Linked DNA regions of Mus musculus: all the other regions are reported to be linked to region 2. The links are microRNA targets in miRTarBase. Many come from high-throughput screens and were not tested one by one. Region 2 holds a microRNA gene; each other region holds the end of a gene's coding sequence.
The links. The annotated mature microRNA mmu-miR-5113 reads ACAGAGGAGGAGAGAGAUCCUGU and lies in region 2 at 1,530-1,552, shown strand. An mRNA with a match to its seed (bases 2 to 7 or 8) in the 3' UTR can be bound and repressed. Matches are read on the target gene's strand: a 7mer-m8 pairs with bases 2 to 8, a 7mer-A1 pairs with bases 2 to 7 and ends in A, and an 8mer does both.

Region 1 (4,241 bases), not on the chromosome of region 2:
CTTCAACTCAGAAATCTCTTTGGCCCTCTAGAACAATTCATAGGGCTTCAAGGTGCCAGGGCTTATAAGACTTCCTCTGCCACCCAAGTGCTGGGATTAAAGTCATGAGCCACCACCGCCTGGCAGGAGACTCTTAAAATGAATGGTGCTGAGAGGTCCTGGCTTCCACAGTGAGATATAACCCTCAGTTACAAAGGGTTTGGTAACTAAATACGTTGACTCACATTGTAAGAACCATATGCTCTGTAGGCAGCTCATGCATAGTGCCTAATGAATGTCTCCACATACAGAGAAAGGCACAGCCATCCTCTCCTGGGAACATAGGACTAACTAGCTATCCTAGAGGTTTCAGCCATCTCAGGAGTGACTTACGAGGCCATTCCTCATTTCTGGAAGGGAAAATTCAGGCCAAGACATAAATATGCCCCACTGTCCCCATTTACCCCAAACTTCCATCTTCTCAGTATATTAGAGATTAAGATTTGAACATGAAAATTTAGGAAGGAAACGAGCTTAGTAGCCACTTTAAGTACTTTGTGAAATAAACAGGGTCATCACAAAGTCACTTTACCTGACTGGCTATTTTCCAAAGGAAACCTTGATCTTAACTGGTACTTTGGGTTAAGGATAACAAACCTTTGTGTACTGGCCTGAACTTAAGACCTTTTTTCTGTGTTCCTTAGGTATCCACCCGGCATTGTAGGTGTGGCTCCAGGAGGGCTTCCTCCAGCGATGGAAGGGATCATCCCTGGGGGCATCCCCGTGACTCACAACCTCCCCACAGTGGCACACCCCTCCCAAGCTCCTTCCCCCAACCAGCCCACAAAACACGGGGACAATCGAGAGCACCCCAACGAGCAATAGCAGAGAATGCCTGAAGCTAATCCGATAAACTTGGGACCAAGAGACAGTAGAAAACGGATGAATTTGATGGTCTTTTAAACTGATCCTGGACATCACTGATACTGCAGTGTTAAAGCTACAAAAGCTAGAAAACTGAAGATGGTATCTGCTTCCAGAGGTGTGGGAAGACTAGGACGTGATTATTAACGACCAACTTCTGTTATTGTGTGTTAAGTTTTTCATCTGTGCATCAAATCACAAAGAATAAATAGAGCTTTTCCTTTATCAATCCCCTGGGCACAGCAGGTCCTGCAGAGCTTGCTCTAGAATGTTGCATCAAGAGCTCCGAATATCAATAAAAAGTTGAGAGGAAATCCCCATCAAGACTAGTCCCTTTGGTCTCCAGGGGCTGGTGCCTCTGCTGATAGGAAGATTAAAATTAAGCCAAGATGGGGAGGACATTGTTTGCCTGTGTAGACATCTCCACGCACAGGATTGAAGAAGTAAAAGCTCCTATACAGAAGGTTTCACATCTGAGCAGCAGAGTCGGTTCAGTAAAACCCTCTGATACAAAAAAAAAAAAAAAACAAAAAAACAAAAAAAAAAAAGGAAAAGAACAAAAGAAAAAAGTATTAAGTTTCACAAGCTGTTTGTACTCAAATCTATTTTCTCAGTTTCAGATCCTCAGCTATTTTATTGAGTGGAAAGTCTTGGACGAGAAGGGTTCAAGAAGAATAATGTTGCATTTCCTTATGTCTCAGGAAACACTTTTTATGGTAACTTGTCAGATTGTCTATGAACAAACCCACTTTTTTAGACATTGATAAATTCTTTTCTTCACGTGATATTTTATACAAGAACACTTCAGATGTGCTATTAGATGTGACTGATTTTAACAAATCCTATTAGATTTGTATCAGCTAGTTACATGTTCTATTCATAGTCTTTTGTGAATCATTGCCTTTTTGTTTTTAAAGATGGCCTATTTTGAGCCTTTGTATAGGTACATTCCTGTTTTTGTGACACAAAAGAAAAAAAAAACTTTAAACTGTCCCAAACAGAAAAATAATGGCTATCAGAAATGTTTTGTTTTAGTGTGAGTTATCGTTACTGTATTTGTTTATTGTAAAGGTGGACATTTTAGCATTCAGTGCAGTTTTCAATAAAGTAATTAAAATTTCTTTTAAGTCCTGACATTTAAGTACATCTCACCTCTGTAAAAGCTAGCCCTTGAGATGTACATTTACATCTCGCCTATGTAAAAGCTAGCCCTTGACACTGTCAGTCAGTTTCGAACTCTTGTGGTGACAGTGTCTTATCTCACAGAAGTCCAAATTAGGTAGGCTATCCTAAAGATGAGGCAGTGCTTTGGAGTGAAGTCAATTCCAGAAACAAAACTGGTTAATTTTTAGAGTTTTGATTTTAATATGCCCAAATGTAGATGTGAACTCTTTGTTTGGGGGAGGGAGGGTAACCTAATATTTATAAAGTGACTGAAAACTTCCACTTGTACTTACCTTCTGAAGTAGCACTCAATGCTCACAATTCCAAGGTTCCTGTTCCTGAGAGAATGAAGTGTCTTACAATGTAAGCCTGTCTGGCTGCCTTCTTTTTAGGAGGGTGCTCTACCTTAACTGCGCTATAAAATGAGCTCACGTGGAGTACCTTCCGTATTACAGATCTTGTCAGTGACTGTGGAAAAAGAGGCCCCAACCATCTACACAGCAGTACTTAACATTTGTTATGGCTAGTGTAGTAAACCTAACAGTGAGAAACAGAAAGTCAGATCTGAATCCATGGTGTGCCTAGGTTTTGTTTAATTAGATTGTGGTTGCTCAAACAGTCCTTTAGAAATGATTATAAACTGACTCCAAAGAACGACAACATCAGGATAAAAACAAAGTACTGGTTTCACCCTAGAAAAAGAACCATAAAGTCCACGTAGTTATAAAAGTATTACTGTCCAGTCCATCTGAAAATCCCTATACCTGCCACCCAGCCATGTATCATCTTTTACAAAGGACGGCATTACACTTTCTTGGGACAATAATTATGGCTGTTGGTTTAGTTCAAGAGCTTAACATAGCGCTGATTTCCCAAAGGGGTTGGCCATTTCACAGCCAGCAGTCTGCTAGAGAAACTAATGAAAGCCCCATTCCTATCTTAAGAGTCCAAGAAATGGAGCCTTCTTTAATTCTTTCCCACAGGGAAGAATGGGTACCTATCAAATTATGTGTGGTCAGGGTCACTGGTCATAAATAAATAAATAAATAATATAAATACAGAGGGAACTCAGGAAAGGACACTCAAGAATTGACAATATGCAGAACAAGGCTCAATCCTGAGCCTGACTCTGTACCACAAGGTTTGGGTACAACACAGATGCACCTAGAGACCAGTGTTACCCTCTCAGCTCTCTGTGGCTTATTTGGGAGGAAGGTTTTGCTTAACTGGATCTCTGCCTCCTGAAAAATCAACTCTACACATGGAGATCAGCTATTCTAGATGCTATGGATGCTAAGTACTTAGAATGACAGCCTTCTATTGACTTGGTTATCATTCACTGATCAAAATGAAAACGAAATAGTCAATTTGTAGAAAAACACTAACTACTGGAACAGTAACATTTACCAGTATTGTTACCACAATTCATTTATATGGAGTCACCTACTGTGAAAATTACTTTCTGGTTTTAGCATGCAGCATAAATGATCTTTCATCCTGAGAACACCTTTTTATTAAGTGTTCACAAGAGAGAGAACTAAAGACATAACAGCTCATAAGTTTTTTCTTTTTAGTATTCCAGCAAACTTAAAAGTTGTATACACTTCAATACCATCTCATCAGAAAAACAAGATTTAAAGGTTTCACAGCCTTTTCATTAAAGGGGAGGAGAAGAGGAAATGTGTGTATTTGCTACTTTGCAACTGCTTGCCACATCAGTCTAAGTGCTTATCAGGACACTACATGTTGTGTGCCTGAGGAGGTCAGAAATGTTTACCCAGTACTAACATATACCTGAAGTGGTCAATTAACACTCTCCATAAATTTTTTTTCTAAAAAGTATGGTTTTAACTTTAAATAATGCTACAACTAACCAACATGCAAAAATTCTCAGACTACACAGAAACTGATCATACAATGCATTGACCACCTTACTGCATTTTAAAAATCTTTATTCTGTACTGAACTGTATTCCCAATCAGCCTAACCAAAGGCCTGCCCCTAATACAGGGTCTGCTTAGAGCAGAGGTGACAAAGACAGGAAGTAGCTGAAGACTGTCTGCATGGCCGCCTGGGAACAGAACAGGTTGAGTCCAAGTAACTGTCACATAACCCACCCAGGGATGAGTGAGCCTGCTCCCTTTCCATCCATCCATCCATCCAGGGTAGAAGTG
Region 2 (4,241 bases):
TGACACAAAATGATACCTCAAGGTATATCTCCCCTGCAATGTAAACCCTTCACTCCTCCTTTCTTGACATCAGTGAGCTATTCTTTATACAATAAGGATGTGTAAATAACCAGATAAGTCTTTGAAACATTTTCTTTGCTGTGAAAATAACCCTAAAATATGATATTTGCATGTTAAGCCGTCAGAAGTTTCAGATCTGAATTCTTGTTGATGAAGAAAAAGCAAAGCAGACGGGTGGGATGGCTTTGGGTTTGTGGTTTGCCTATTCTCTCCTGGTGTCCCTCCCCCGCCACAGCACAGGGCAGCAGACCAGTGACCACACCCTGCCCTAACTAAATGCCATCTCTTCCACCACCAAGGCCCCAGGGTGGGCAATATCTGAATTTCTCTCTTCCATATATGATCCATACCCTCCAGGGACTTCAAGAAGTTCTTTGCCGTGTGTGTGTGTGTGTGTGTGTGTGTGTGTGTGTGTGTGTGTGTGTTTACATGTATGCACTTCTTGCTCTTTAAGTGTGGTCCTTTAATCCCCAGTGGAGTTTAGTCCCTGATTTTTTAGTCTGTCCCGTAGCCTTTTTAGCAATGTTCTGGAAATGTATTTCTTACTTAGAAGGAAATTGAGCTTAGAGCTGACATCCTTAAAAATCCTTGTTGGCACATGCTGCCTGTGAGGGTGCTGACAGCCGCTGCCCTCCTAGACCGTGGGCTCCCTTGAACAAGAGTAGAAGATTCATTTTATCTCATTTTAACTCAAATCTATATCTGTTAAGAAGCTATAGTCAAGAGTGCTTTCCTTGATCTGTTTAATGACGACTTCCTTTGAGGGAGGAATCTGGTTGAAAGTGATGGACATCCCTTGCCTATCTTCTGCGTGGCACTGTTCCCTTGGATTTGACTTCTGTAGTTTGTCTGGAGGTCCTTGCTTATCAGTGTGCTTTCTCCTATCGACGGGGTTCTGCCTGCCCTTGTTTCCCTCTCTGATGTTCCCAAAGGGCTTTGCTGATGTCTGCACCTCTTTCTTGGGGCATTCCCCTACTACACCCTTTGCACACACCAGTGACCAAAGTGTATGCAGTGGTCTCAACACATGACATCAAATGGTGCACGCACCTCTAGTGTGCTCACAGATGTGCACAAGATCTGCACCCTTGGCCTTAACTTCAGCACGACTTAAGGTGCAGGAACATTTTTAACAGGTTTAAAAATAACCTTTTCTGGGAGGGAAAATCAAGCAGATCCAACCGCTCCCCACTATCTGCTTGCAACTCATTCTGCATCCAGCCCAGCCCAGCCCTGTTTTGCGTAACCAAAACCAACAACAGAAAGCAACCTAAGGAGAGGTCTCTGGACTGTTTTATCTTTCTCCCTTTCGATGGAGATACAAATGCTGCTTTGGGTTCCATAATCCTAGGGGGCTATGTTTACATAGTGAAACTAATTCTACCAAATCAGGAAACAGTGAGTAGTGAGAGACCCTTCAGTAAGAAATCACTGAGGCTGAACCAGAGGTTTAAAGACCTAGGGATGGGACAGAGGAGGAGAGAGATCCTGTTTAACTCACTGCAACACCAGGGTCACTCCCTCCTCTCTGCTCTCCCTGGCCCTCTTTGCCCCTTTAATCAAAAGGTTCAGAGAAAGACACCAGAAAGAGGCTGAAGTTTTTAAGAGGCAGCTTTCCAACTTTGCACACAAATGGAAGGTACCATGAAAATCCTCTCATCCGAAACACTCGGCAGAAACAACCTGTCAAATCAAAAGGACTAAACTGCTGCCCACGTTGATGCGCTCTGCGAGTTACCTATAAGTGTTTTGTTTTCTTATACTTGAAAACACTTTTACAATATTATGTTGGTGGCTTTCTTTTCTCTCTTCTGTTGGGCAATTGAAACTGCAGATGACAAATGTTAAGGCTGTTTGAGGGGAGAAAAGGAAGGCTGTGGCATTGTCGTTTTAACATAGAGGTTCAGTCAGACTCCCATAGGGTAACATTGTTCATCTTACTGGTTTAACATGGACACAGAAACTAGGCACTTTGGTGGTTCACTTGCACGGCAGGCCGACCCCCTTTCTATATTTTATTTTACTTTTTTAGTATAGTGGTACTTAAAATCACTGGTTCACTTAAAAAACAAATGTTAAACTCTACTAATGTACAAATAAGCTGAAAAGTTGCATTTTATGTGTATTTTTGCCATAGCAGGTACTGTATTTCTCATGCTGGATTTCAAAAAAAAATTATATATATATATATATATATATCAAAAACAAACAAAACTGAAGGGTGGTGTTTTCTCAGATTGTGACAGGTTGATTGGTAAGGATTAAAGTCGTAGTCATTTCATTAAAACTGAGAGATGATGTAATGCATATATAAGAGTTTTCTGAAGGGTTTTTTGGGCTTTTAAACAGCTTATTTTGTTTTTTTTTTTAGTTTTTATTTTATTTTATTTTGGAAAGATATGATTGTATTATGTGCAACTCAGTTGCTTACATTATAACTACAAAATATTTTTGAGTTCCTGGAAAAAAAAGAAAAAAGACTAATAAATGTGTTTGGCTGCTAAGCATTTACTGTTGTCATTTCTGGTTTTAGTCTCATAGTTGAAATGTTTGACCTGCTGGCTTCTTTTGAGTCTCCCTCCCTCCCTCCCTCCCTTCCTCCCTTCCTTCTTTCCTTCTTTCCTTTCTTCCTTTCTCTTTCTTCTCTCTTCCATGAATCTTCCCTCCCATCCCCTTTTGGTCCTCACAAAAGCATGTCAGAAATTCTGCAGTTGGGTTTGAACCTCATTCTGTTTCCACTAATTGCTGCATGTCTCAGAGCTGAAAACCACCTGCCGTGGTGCAGGGTTCAAACTTTCCAAAAGAAACTGAGGGTGACCTTTTGCTATTGCCTCGTGTCTTGGGAAGCCCGAGTTTGTGTTTGCCGGGCACCGAGGTAGAGGAGAGAAGACGCCTCTGCTGCCATCAGCTGCTCGAAAGGAGGTTGTGCTTTTTCAGCCAGGCAGCAGGAAACTCTTTAGAAAAGTTATGCTTGGCATAGTCTAGGTGACAGTAGGTGGTAGCATTGTCCAATGCCCACTGCCAGCTGTACACCGTTATGAGCATGCCATGTATATGCACCCGTGTAACTCACACTCACCTCTGCCACTGGCTGAATCAGCCTAGCAACCCAGGCGATGGTCAGAAATCAGGCCAGCAATTACTCACTCAGTGGTAAAGTACATGTTTGGCACATGTACTTAAAACCCAGCACCACAAAAGCTACTCCGAAATACCTGTGTTGATAAACAGCTGGAATCCTTTTGTGTGTCATCCAGTTCTTTCTTCATAAAGATTGTAAACACTGGCCAGGTGTTGTGGTTCCTGCCTTAATCTCAAGACTGAAAGCTCAAAGCCAGCCTGGAACTCAGAAAAAACACAACCTGTGGGTAGAGCCCAGTGATTGAGATCCTGTCTCTGATCAGTATTTCAAAAATGAAAGTGTATATAAACACTGGGAAATGTGGGGTGGATCTGCCTATCCTAAGCCCATGTCTTATTTAGGTTTTGGCTTCAGAAATGGAGGTTGGCAAAACAACAGAAACCTTCAATATGAGACCTTCATTACCAAAGGCTTTAAATTTCAGCTAGTAGGGTTGGAGGTGCAGGTTAAAACCTCAGCTTTCGGGCCTAGCAAACACAGAAGTGGATGATCACAGTCAGCTATTGGATGGGTCACACGGCCCCTAATGGAGGAGCTAGAGAAATTACCCAAGGAGCTAAAGGGAACTGCAACCCTATAGGTGGAACAACAATATGAACTAACCAGTACCCGGGAGCTCTTGTCATTAGCTGCATATGTATCAAAAGATGGCCTAGTCGGTCATCACTGCAAAGAGAGGCCCATTGGACTTGCAAACTTTATATGCCCCAGTACAGGGGAACGCCAGGGCCAAAAAGGGGCAGTGGGTGGGTAGGGGGTTGGGGGGTGGGTATGGGGGACCTTTGGGATAGCATTGAAAATGTAAACGAGGAAAATATCTAAAAAAAAAAAAAAAAAAAAAACTCAGCTTTCAGGAAATGGAGACAGGAAAATGAGTGGTGTGTGGTCTTTCATGCCTATATAGTATGTTTGAGGAACCCTAGGCTTTGTGAGATCGTCCAGTGTCAGGGCATGTCTTAGGGTTTACATTGCAGTGAAGAGACAATGTGACCAAGGCAACTCTTATAAAGGACAACATTTTTTTTTTTTTTTTTTTTTT
Region 3 (4,241 bases), not on the chromosome of region 2:
CATGCTCACAGAGGCCAGCAGAGGGCATCAGATCTCCTGGAACTGGGAGTTATAGATGGCCTTGAGCTACCTGTGGGTACTCATACCTGAACCTGAATCCTCTGGAAGAACAGCAAGTGCTCTTAACCACTGTGTCACCTCTCCAGTCCACACATGTTACTGTGTATTAGTTTCATTTTCTGTTGCTGTGACAAATATCCTGCTAAAAGCACTTTAAGGGACAAAGGGTTATTATGCTCGTAATTCCAAAGTTACAGACTACTGGGGAGTCAAGGTGTCAGGAACTTGACACATATCACAGTCAAGAGCAGAGAACAAATACACACATGCCTGCCAGTGTTCAGCTGTCTCTACACTAAGGATCTGCCTGCCCAGAAAATAGTGCCACCCACAGTGGGTGGATCTTCTTACCTCAACACAATCAAGATAATCCCACACAGACATGCTCACAATGGGTCAGCGAGATCTAGACAGTCCCTCAATGAGACTCTCTTTGCAGGTGACTCTAGATTACGTCAAGTTGGCAAATTAACTGTCACAACTGGAAACTGAACTTATGCCTTTGTTAGGTAAATACTATAGGGCTGGTCTTAACCAAAGTCTCTTTCTTTATCTACCTTCCCTCAGTAGAACTTGAAGTCTTGTAACACCCTTTGGCTCATCCGTTTTGCCTCCAGAGGACCTGAGTTCAATTCCCAGCATGGTCTAGAAACGATTTCTTTACCCCTTCCTGCTACACTACATGAAAGGACCATGCTCTTCATTTATTCCAGTCCTGAGCAGTTTATTCATTCATTTCATATTTGAGTGCTCTTCTGAGAAGCAGCCACACTAGTTCCCAACTCCTGGGTTCCCTGGTATCCCCATCGCACCAAACCCTTCAAACACTGCAATCCTTCTAGGGCTGCCTTCTTTGTGTTACTGCTTAGGAGGAAGCCTCTTCCTGCAGTCTTCCCGAACTTCTACACGTAATCTGCCTAAGCTATAGCAAAGACTCAATAGAAATTGATATAGCCTTTTGTTTTTTCTTTACAAAGGCCATCTATTTCTGAGACAGGCTCTCTCTGCATAGCCCTGAATGTCCTGGAACATAGACCAGACTTGCCTCCAATTCAAGGGATCTGCTGGACTCTCCTGAATGCTGGTATTAGGTGTGTACCACTACACTTCTGTAATAGGCAGTTTTTGCAGTAAGAAATCAGGAGCTGAGTATGGTGGTACATACTTGTAATCCCAGCAGCCAGGAAGCGGGTTAGAGAAGAGAACCAAAAGATCTGAAGCCTGCCTCTCAAAGCAAAATTTAAAAGAAAAAAAAACAGTCCTCATCATCCCCTACTCTCACCCCAAGACAGGATTTCTGTGTAGCCCTGGCTATCCTGGAACTCTCTCAATAGACCAGGCTATCCTTGAACTCATAGAGATCTACATGGATGTCTTTTAAGTGCTGGGATTAAAAGGGTGCACCACCACCATCTAGCTCCTTTTCGTTTTCTTTTTAGCAAAGCTGGGAAGGAAAGCCAGGGCCTTGTTTACAAAGCACAAGACAGAAGACCCAAGTCAAACGAGCTCAGGGAGATCCTGCCTCACACAGGTGGTGCTGGTGGTGGTGAAGCAGACACAGTTCCTGGACAGTTTAGGAAGGCTTCGTCCTGAAGATGCTAAAGTTCAGAAATCCTTCTATGCAGCTATCTAAGGATCTAAGGTCCCCAAGAATACTCCCTTTACACGGACTAAGAGAGCCAACAAAAGGGCAATATGCATGGGGATGGCTCGGTCAGTAAGTGCTTGCTCTACAAACACAAGGATCTGAGCCCAGACACCCAACACTTAGGTAAAAGCTCTACCCAGCATGGTATCAGGGGCAGAGAAAGGCAAATCCCCAGAGCTCACTGGTTAGTCGAGAAAACAGGTGAGAGTGCACATACCATGTACCCAGGGACAGACACTCACACATATACTACACTTTTTTTTTTTAAGTTTTTTTGAGACAGGATTTCTCCATGTAGCCCTGGCTATTCTAGAACTCACTCTGTAGACCAGACTGGCCTTAACCTCCAATGCCCGCCTCTGTCTCCTTAAGTGTCAGGATTAAAGGTAAGTGCCACTATGTCTAATGTTTTTCAATTGGGGAAAAAAAAGGGTGGGGTGGGGGCTGGAGAGATGGCTCAGTGGTTAAGAGCACTAACTGTTCTTCCAGAGGTCCTCAGTTCAATTCCCAGCAACCACATGGTGGCTCACAACCACAGCAATGGGAATCTGATGTCCTCTTTGTGTCTGAGAACAGTGACAGTATACTCATAAACAAAATAAATAAAATCTTTAAAAATAAAGAAAAAAAAAGAGTTAATTCTTTTGAGGAATTTCAACTTCAAGAATACAACAAAAGAGGCTGGAGAGATGGCTAAGCAGGCGAGAGCACTTGTTGCTCTTGCAGAGAACCACATTCAGTTTCCAGCACCCACCTGTCTTTAACTTCAGTTCCAGAGGATTGGTCACCCTTTTTACCTGCATGGACACTGCTTGACTATGATATACTTACATACATAAAGGCAAAACACACACACACACACACATGATCATATATGTGACATAAGCTTATCAAAATAGATCCACTCTGTAGGAAACTGTATAGATTTTCTAGCTTGATTCCTGGCCCTTGAGTATTTGGCATTCTCTAGGGTCACTTCCTGACCTACCTCCATTTCTGTTTCCTTTGCAGTCCCACACCCCAACCTACCACAGAGGCACAGGGTTCTAATTAGAACGGAGGGTACTGTCCAGGAGCCATTTGTATTAACCTTGTAACACTGCTAGCACTCATTCATGGTGAAGTCCATGGAGCTTCCTTCCACAGAAGTGGAAGATGCTCTGGAGGAAGTGGACTCCTCCTCTAAATGGGTACACCACAGTTAAAGGAACCGTCCTGAGCACTAAAGGGAGAAGTCTAATTATTCAGCTCTACTTCTAAGCAGCTGTATCTGTTACTTGGCTAACTGCCATCAAACTTAAGAAATAAGTAACAGCCCAAGTGTTTCTTTTATTCCCCAAAAGACAACTGCCACACATACACAGTATCTATAATCGTGTCCCTGAAGATAACAAGTGTCCCTGGAATGTAAAAGGAAACCTTGAGAGAAATGGCACCTGGTTCTCAATGCGTAACTAACAGTGAGGAAACAGCCCTTGGAAAGAACAGTCCCTCATCCCTGGGTCAATGGATCGATGGATCCCTGGAAATTGGAATGGATGTAGACTAAATACTTACTGTCTAGCATGCCAAGGGAGTACACTTAAACCTGGTAACAGCTCCTCTAATAAGAACATACATGTAGGATTTCCTCAATGAATCCAACTCCCCAGAGTCTATAGAATGATGCCTTCTGAGTCAGAGGGGAACACACTGTTCTCAGCACCACTTCTAAAGGCATCCAAGAACAAAGGCTGACCCCTGGGGCACCGCTTCCTGCCCAGCTCAAACTTCAAGATGTGGAGCAGGACCGGCCAGACTCTGCAGCCTCAGCCCACCTGGACCCCGGCTCCTCAGGTTCCTCGAGCTTTTCCATCTCTCTTGAGGGTTTCGGAGACTGGCGGGGGCTCTCCTGGGCCTTCAGACAGTACACAGTAGACAATGTCTCGCTGGCCTTGGGTGTCTGTCTGACTGACCATATGAATGGCTGAGCTGGGGTTGTCCTGAGAAGCTGAGAGAGCTGTTCCCTCAACAACCCTACCTTCCTCTTCTGTCTCTTCCTCAGGTCCTGGCCCCCCTAGCACTGTTTCCAGAACAATGCCCTGCAGGCTGCTCTCATTCAGTGCCAATCCCGGATCTGATCCTTCTTGTAACTGCTGCAGCAACTGCTGTGTCAGCTCCACACTCTCATACCGAACTAGCTGCAGTCGCATGTAGCCATCTTCATGTTCCTTGTACCTGGAGGAGAAGGCAGTACATCAGCAGAGGATGGAAAAATTGCCTAGAATCAGAGGGTGAAGATACAAATATGCCATCTGGAAGAAATCTTAGGATTCTATGTGATAGAACTAAAGATTAAGAAAAGGCTTTTAATGGAATCTGTAGCATCAAGGTTCAGAGGCAGGCTGGAGAGATGGCTCAGTGGTTAAGAGCACTTGACTGCTCTTTTTTTTTTTTTTTTAAGATTTATTTTATTATTTTATGTAAATACACTGTAGCTGTCTTCACACACTCCAGAAGAGGGAGTCAGATCTTGTTACGGATGGTTGTGAGC

Region 1: miRTarBase lists Ctbp2 as a target of mmu-miR-5113. Seed matches in the 3' UTR shown: 7mer-A1 at 1,405-1,411.
Region 3: miRTarBase lists Hinfp as a target of mmu-miR-5113. Seed matches in the 3' UTR shown: 7mer-A1 at 3,386-3,392.

Annotation. Positions count from the first base shown.
Region 1 is chr7:132,984,794-132,989,034 of GRCm38, reverse strand. It overlaps Ctbp2 (C-terminal binding protein 2), which reads left to right. Exons shown (of 9, transcript NM_001170744.1): 9 at 684-2,024. The coding sequence ends at 864. Zranb1 (zinc finger, RAN-binding domain containing 1) reads right to left here. Exons shown (of 10, transcript NM_207302.3): 10 at 2,644-4,241. Among named protein-coding and RNA genes, the nearest start is that of 4932437C15Rik, 14 kb to the left of the region's middle.
Region 2 is chr15:80,938,520-80,942,760 of GRCm38, forward strand. Mir5113 (microRNA 5113) reads left to right here and starts at 1,520; the gene lies at 1,520-1,601. Tnrc6b (trinucleotide repeat containing 6b) reads left to right here. Exons shown (of 25, transcript NM_144812.3): 25 at 1-2,567.
Region 3 is chr9:44,292,656-44,296,896 of GRCm38, forward strand. Hinfp (histone H4 transcription factor) reads right to left here. Exons shown (of 10, transcript NM_172162.3): 10 at 3,018-3,925. The coding sequence ends at 3,541. Among named protein-coding and RNA genes, the nearest start is that of Abcg4, 6.5 kb to the left of the region's middle.